Linked DNA regions of Callithrix jacchus. The protein of the gene in region 1 binds, or shares a complex with, the protein of each later gene. Links are inferred from orthologs where the notes say so. Each region holds a gene or a part of one and is shown in the gene's direction. Other genes may lie near its edges.

The links.
Region 2: VPS8 (region 1) and TGFBRAP1 share a complex: the UniProt entries of both Homo sapiens proteins name them as parts of the putative class C core vacuole/endosome tethering (CORVET) complex. The link is inferred for Callithrix jacchus from reciprocal best matches to the Homo sapiens genes VPS8 and TGFBRAP1.

The regions. Positions count from the first base shown.
Region 1 is NC_133516.1:13,873,448-13,877,260, forward strand, and holds part of VPS8 (vacuolar protein sorting-associated protein 8 homolog), read left to right. Parts: intron 1-1,446; coding exon 1,447-1,566; intron 1,567-2,925; coding exon 2,926-2,982; intron 2,983-3,813. UniProt on the Homo sapiens protein: Plays a role in vesicle-mediated protein trafficking of the endocytic membrane transport pathway.
Region 2 is NC_133515.1:15,384,020-15,387,832, reverse strand, and holds part of TGFBRAP1 (transforming growth factor-beta receptor-associated protein 1), read left to right. Parts: intron 1-2,388; 5' UTR 2,389-2,405; coding exon 2,406-3,093; intron 3,094-3,813. UniProt on the Homo sapiens protein: Plays a role in the TGF-beta/activin signaling pathway. It associates with inactive heteromeric TGF-beta and activin receptor complexes, mainly through the type II receptor, and is released upon activation of signaling.

The DNA.
Region 1 (3,813 bases):
TGTGCATACTTCTCGGAGTTCCTGTATTGTATTCTTCAGTTCCATTAATTCACTCATACTCCTCTCTAAGTTGTCTATTCTCAATAGGATTTCATCAAACCTTTTTTCAAAGTTCCTAGTTTCTTTACGTTGGGCTACAACATGTTCTTTTAACTCACCGAAGTTTGTTATTATCCATTCCTTGAAGAGTGATTCTGTCATCAGGAGGCGCTCATTCTCCATCAAGCCTTGTTCCATTGTTGATGTGGAACTGTGATCATCTTTAGAGGGAGAGGCATTCTGACTTTGAGTATTCTCAGCTTTTTTACGCTGGTTTCTTCCCATCGTTGTAAATTTATCCTCCTGTCGTCTTTGAAATTACCAACTTTCAGATTAGGTCTCTTGAGTGGACGTCCAGGTTGTTAGTTCCCAGGGCCAGAGCAGCGGCGTTAATACTGATGGTGCTTTTCTGCCCAGGATTCTCCTGTCTGGCTTCCTTCTTGTTTCTGTAGTAGGCGACTCTGCCTTCCCAGGACTCCAAACCTTGGTCAGAAGGGGAACCCGTCCCGTTTACTCTGCGCTGAGCGCTGCCGCACCGAGGTGCCGTCACAGCCGCTGCGCCGGGCTCTGGTATTGTGCTGGGGGCCGTGCGGGTCCTCCAAATGTGTTTACTCTGCTCCGAGAGCTGCCACACCGAGGTGCGGGCGGAACCGCTGCGCCGGCCACGAGAGTCACGCTGGCGACCCGTGTGTTTCCTCCACTGGGGGATCTTCTGCTCCGTGAGCAACCAGACTTTGTCTGAAAGTGTGGCGTCCTCTAGTTCTCCGCGTCTTCCCTGAGAGCTGCAATCTCGGGATGTTAGCGATCGGCCATCTTGGATCGTTCCGCAAAAGAATTTACTTTCTACTTATCGGACTATTTAAATTTAATTGTACAATGCCAGCCTGGCCAATGTGGTGAAACTCCGTCTCTACCAAAAATACAAAAATTAGCCAGGCATGGTGGCGCATGCCTGCACTTCCAGCTACTCGGGGAGCTGACGTGGGAGGATCACTTGAACTCAAGAGGCAGCGGTTGCAGTGAGCCAAAATTGCACCATTGCACTCCAGCTTGGGCAACAGAGCGAGACTCCGTCTCAAAAATAATAATAATTGTAGAATGATTCTTGAAGAATTCCTGGGGGAAACATGATTGATATTTCTTTGAAATATTACAGTTTATATCTCTACCTCCTTATCAATTCAGTTCTCATCCAGATTGTGCTAGAAATATGCCAAAAATCACTGAAATATTTTCAGTGTGCGAATAGTTGTGCTTCTTCTAAATGGTGTTAAATTCAATTGTTGCACAGTCAGTAAAAGAATCTTTTTACAAGTCTTCAGTAATGAGGCTGTCCCCTCTTCTAATTGTATGCTTTTGCATCAAACCAGATGGTGTATTGAATAAATGGTCTCCCTTGCTTCTCAGGTTATGGTGGAGAATTCAGACTTCACCCCCTCACAAGTAGGATGTCTCTTTACCTTCCTTGCTCGGCAGCTTGCAAAGCCTGACAACACCTTGTTTGTAAACAGAACACTTTTTGATCAGGTAAGTGTCTAGCAGTGAAAACGAAAAGCTTTTTTTCTGTTTATTGTGCACAGTTCCCTGGATTACACTGTTGCTTGATGTGACAGACTTGGGTAAATGTCTTATCAAGGAGAGGCCTGTTCAGGCTTTGGATCTAAATTAGGGGTGTGTGTGTATATGGGTGGATGGGTGTGTTTGTGGAGATTGGTTTATAGAGCTTGTGTTCTTCAAATTATTCTGTTGTTCTGAATTGCCTGGAATTCTTTGCTCAAGAGTTTTCCAATTTAAGAATCTCCCGCATCTCTCCGGTAGTGAGACTATTAGGCCCATCATCTGGAGAAGAGATTATTTTATAAAATCTCAATTTACCTACAAATGACTTTGCAGGCGTCTTGTAAGCCCACTTAAATAGCTCCTATGTTTCCACAGGTGGCAAAGAAGACACTTTTTGTCTGGAGAAAGTATCTAAAGATGACTAGCATTTTCTGAGCACTTCAGAATGGCAGACGTTGTTCCAAAGCTTTATGTGTGTGTGTTACCTTAGTCCTCTCAACAGCTCGAAAACAGGGGCAGTTATCTCCTGTTATAGATGAGGAAGGGAAGGCCTGGAGAGATTGAGTCATTCATCTAAGGTCATACTTAGTAAGTGTTGTTATTAGCAGCAAATACTAAGTCTTAATAGGGTTAGTATCCAAATTCAGGTGGCCTGACTCCTAAGTCCATGCTTTGCTAGGTTCGTGATATCTTATCAGGAAACTTAAGGGGTGTGTGTGTTCGTGTGTGCGTGCGTGCATGCATGTGTGTGTGTCTGTATAGACAACACTTCCTTATATCTGTGTTTCTTATAGCTATATTTCTTTTGTCTCTCTCTCTCTCTTTTATTTTTTGGTCACCCAGGCTCTAGTACAGTGGCGCAATCTCAGCTCACTGCAACCTCTGCCTCCCAGGTTCAAGTGGTTCTTTTGCCTCAGCCTCCAGAGTAGCTGGGATTACAGGTGCATGCCACCACACCCGGCTAATTTCTTGTATTTTTAGTAGAGACGTGGTTTCACCATGTTGGCCAGGTTGGTCTTGAACTCCTGACCTCAAGTGATCCACCCTCCTCGGCCTCCAGAAGTGCTGGGATTGCAGGTGTGAACCAGTGCGCCCAGCCTCTTACAGTTATGTTTCTAAAGAGTAAAGAGATAAGTATGTAAGGCACATATTAAATCGTTGGCATACCTGAGCCTGATGTTATGTGTACTAGGCTAATCAGCTGCGAAGGTACTCTGCACCTGTGGTCTTTGGCTGAGTGTGAATGGGTTGGTTATTTGAAAGGGTGGTTATTATTTTTATTATGAGAGTACTGATGTCTGCATGCTTTACTCTTTCTTTGGCCAGGTCCTTGAATTCCTTTGTAGTCCTGACGATGATTCCCGACATTCTGAAAGACAGCAGGTTTGAACCACTAGAACTCTTTTTGCTTTAAATAGGAAACAAGAGTAAACCAGAAGGACCTCTTCTGTGCTAGACCTCACTACACGTAAGGGGCAGTGACTTGTGCCAAACTCTAACACGAAGGTAAAGTCATGGGGACCAGATAATAGAGTGGTTGGTTGTTAGAGGTACATGTATTAGGAGCTTATATCAAACTCAATTCCTAGAGCTGTCTTGCACCTACCGTGACATCAAAGAAACGACTTCATCTTTCCTTATTACATAGCAACAGTTAGGACTTCTTGTACCCTGCATTCCATTGGCTGCTGCGGTCCTGACACAAAAAAGCTGCAGGCTCCTGAGCATTGACATACCTAACTCTTAAGAGTGCCCTAAAACCCCACCTCATCAGGGCTGGCCATTCTGGACACTAGAATCCATCTGTCCCTCCACTCATTATTGCGAGATGGCAACTGTTTGATGACCACTTTCTATTCGTGCCACTTTCTTGAGGTTCCCTTCAGGAGTAGGGTTCTTTAAAAAGCATACCTGCCATCATTGTGGGCACTGAGAGAGTCAACCCATTTTGTATTGATAGCCAGATTTTGTCAGGTGAATAAACAGACAGTAAAATCAGTAAAATTACGTACTATGGGAGCCGTGCTGAAGGACGTGCTGAAGCACTATGCTAATTGTACACAGCTGGGAAGTTGAGGCTCTCAGATAGCAACAGTGACCCCTTTGTCTGCACAGCTGTGCCCCAGTGGCGGCTGCAGAGTATCCTAGGAAGAAGAACAGCTGGTAAAGTTTTGGTTATCTCTTAAATTACATTGAATCCAAATAGTAATGTGG
Region 2 (3,813 bases), on another chromosome or scaffold:
TACGTGGGTTTTGGTGGTTATGTTTGGTTGAGACAAATACATGATGCTGTTTAAGAACTGTTTGTGCCACAGACTATTTATAGAAGCCTGCTGGAGTTCTTCACCTAGCCATACCTGGGATTCTGGGGATGTTCCCAGAGCCCCTAGGTACATGGACATGATTCTTTCTCTGTGGTGCCTTTTGAACCTCCCTCTGCACTTCGCCCAGCTCTGTCCCATAGTTTCTGTGAAGATGAGCGCCCATAAATGAGTGTGAAGATGTTTTAGGGGTAGGGCAGATATGTGAGTGTGTGTTCTAGCTTACATTGCAGACTGTCTTTTGGCAGAGGTGAACAGGTTACCCATATCTGAGGACAGAAGACAGCATTGTTTAATCTCTTGGTGCCCAACTTGGGAAATAAACACCTGAAGCAGGCAGGTAGTTTGAGAGAGGAATGGGAGCTGATCCACACTGGGAGGGAATCATAGTGTTTATGATGAGATCCAAAAGTTTGAGTGTTGGGTGCCAGCTGTCAGCATTTTATATGAACTGATTTACTTAATTCTGCAATGGTCCTGTGAAAGCAGGTACCGTTATTATGCTCATTTCACAGATGAGGCAATTGAGACTGGAATAGCCAAGTGTCCTTCAGGCTGCTGTAACAAACTCCCATATGTTAGGTAATTAATAGGCAATAGAAATGTATTGTTTGCGGTTCTGGAAGCTGGGAAGTCCAAGATTGAAGCATGGCAGGCTCAGTGTTTGGAGAGGGCCCATCCCTCAGGGGTGGTGCCTTCCAGCTGCCTTTTCACACAGTGGAAGGGACAGATAAGCTCTCTGGGGCCTCTTTGATAAGGGCACTGATGCCATTCATAAGGGCTCCACCCTCATGACCTAATCACCTCCCAGATGCCTCGCCTCCCAGCACCTCTGTGGATTAAGTTTCAACATATGAATTTTAGGGGGGAAACAAACATTCTGACCATAACATCAAGTAATTTGCTCAAGTGATGGGAAAAAAACAGGAAGGACTGATGTGTCCACAGACAACCCTCCTCCTCAGTCCTGGGTGCCCTCCCTCCTAGGGAGGGGGCCTAGGGAAGGGGCTGGAGTCTCACTCATGTATAGCTGTCATTGCCCCCATGGATGGGGGCAGACAAGAAATTGTAGAGTTCCAAAATTTTCAAGTTGAAAGGCACTAAAGAAGTGCTCTGATTCCTTCCCTTCCCTGATGCGTGAACCTTTCTTGAATATTTCTGAGAGGTCTTACCCCCTATGCTGGAATGCCTCCAAGTATTAGGAACTTAAGCTCTCCTGAAGCAGTACTGTTCCATGTTCGGAGAGCTTGAAGTGAGGAAGTGATAGTAGTAGGGAACCTTTCACTTCAAACTCTCTGAACATGGAGCAGTGCTGACGCAAGCCCAGCCAGCTGCCCTGCAGTGCCCGTCATTCTCTGCAGTCCTCTTTCCAGCTCTCTGATCCCCTGCCCTGCTCCCGATCATAGGGATGGTGCCTTTGAGTTTGCTTCTGGTCGCCTGAGAAGTCAGGAAAGGCCACCTTACCTGGTCTTCTCCCTCTGACTTTGTGGAGTGTGAAAGCACAGTTCTCGCAGAGATGAAGTAGGAGGCCACAGGCTAATGTGGAAATGGAAAGTCTTGCTTCCAGTGGGAGCCAGGGACCAGTCCACACATCCACTAAATAGCTCCACTTACCACCTGAAAGCCTTTTGAGATCTGAGGCACACCTTTACTCTCCACATGAACGTTTACTCCGGAGCGGGGGCTGATGTGTCTGCCTTTTTGGAAAGAACACAAAGGTAACCAAAGGCTGGCTCCTGCCTTGGTGTCCCTGGCAGGATCCTGCGACTCTGGTTGTGTTCATTGACTAAAGCGCATATTCAAGCAGCTGTAGAAACTCAGGGAAGATCAGTGAGGATCATTTCTGCCTTTTTCAGAAATCCCTTTTTTTTTTTCAAATGGGGTCTCATTATATTGCCCAGGCTGGCCTGCAACCCCTGGGGTCAAGCCATCCTCTTGCCGCACAGAAATCCTTTTGTTACGTTGTCTGTGGGTGAATGCATGCATTTGTCTTCTGCCTGCAAGTGTGTCTCCCAGGAGCAATGTGAGGAGGCTCCAGGCGACTCCGTGTGGGGACTGAGCAGGATGGCACATGATCACAAGCACATGCATGTGTGTGTATGGGTGTGTGCGTGTATGCTTTTTTGCTGGGGTCTCTTGCTGTCTGATGGGGGAGATCCGTGGGGAAAAAGTTTCTTTCTATTTTTTGATAGCGTGGAATGATTTTCTTTAATGAAAATTATAACTGGGGAATCCACATATCATTATTTCAACCTCTGTTTCTGCTTTTTCTTTGTTCCTCTAAAAGTAGTTTTTCTCTTTCTCTTCCAGCAGATCAGCCAGTAGACATGATGAACATCAAAGCCTTTACGCTTGTCTCTGCCGTGGAGTGGGAGCTGCTGGTGGGCGACAAGGAGCGTGTCAACATTGAGTGTGTAGAGTGCTGCGGCAGGGACCTCTACGTGGGCACCAACGACTGCTTTGTCTACCACTTCCTGTTGGAGGAGAGGCCAGTGCCTGCCGGGCCGGCCACGTTCACTGCCACGAAACAGCTGCACAGGCACCTGGGCTTCAAGAAGCCTGTGAGTGAGCTGCGCGCAGCCTCAGCACTCAACAGGCTGCTGGTGCTGTGTGACAACTCCATCAGCCTGGTCCACATGCTGAACCTCGAGCCAGTGCCCTCGGGAGCCCGCATCAAGGGGGCGGTCACGTTTGCACTGAATGAGAACCCTGTGACTGGGGACCCATTCTGTGTGGAAGTTTGTATCATCTCTGTCAAACGCAGAACCATCCAGATGTTTCTGGTGTACGAGGACCGGGTGCAGATCGTCAAGGAGGTGTCAACCTCTGAGCAGCCCCTCGCTGTAGCTGTGGACGGCCACTTCCTGTGTCTGGCTCTGACCACTCAGTACATCATCCACAACTACAGCACAGGTGTCTCCCAGGACCTGTTTCCCTACTGCAGCGAGGAGAGGCCGCCAATTGTCAAGAGGATAGGGAGACAGGAGTTCCTACTGGCGGGCCCCGGAGGGCTGGGTGAGGAAGATGTGTTTGTGCTCCTGGTCTTTTTGGGTGGCCTCTGTGATTGCATGTTGAAACCAGAGAGTGAGATTGGCGCTGTGCAGAATAAGTCCTCAGCAACATTGGGCGTGTGTGGCAAGACAGAGGCAGGAGTGCCTGACCAGTGCTTGATGAAATCCAGTTCGATCGTTTTGTGGACATGGGGTTAGAATCATCAAACCAGTTTCTTTTCACAGTGAAGTGGAGCTTGAAAACGGCTCTGGTGGTGTTACCGGGAACAGGACATTCTCAGCTCTTTGTCATCTTGGAAGAAAGACTTTGGCCAAGAGGCAATTCAGGGATAGCAGAGAGCTTTACTGAAGGGAAGTAGAGAGCAGAGAGTTTATGTGGAGAGAGACGGTACATTCTGAAAGATAAGGCACTCTAGGATGCTGAGAGTGAGCCAGCAACCCTGAGAGTTCTGCATCAGGTTTTTATGATGCTGGATATTTTCTTGAAGTTCCCACCTGTCTTAAGTTTCTGCCTTTTTTCTTTGGTTTTCCTGCTTCTACCTTAAATCCCTGCCTTTTCCTCCTACCTAGTTTCTACCCTAAGCTTGTGGGACCCTCAAGCTTATTAGTTGGTGCCCATGTGCAGCCAGTGGTGGATGTGAATCCTACCTAATGGCTGCATTGCTCTTCCACCCCAGGAAGGTTGTACAGTGGTCAGCTCCATACTTACTGCACCTGTGTGTCA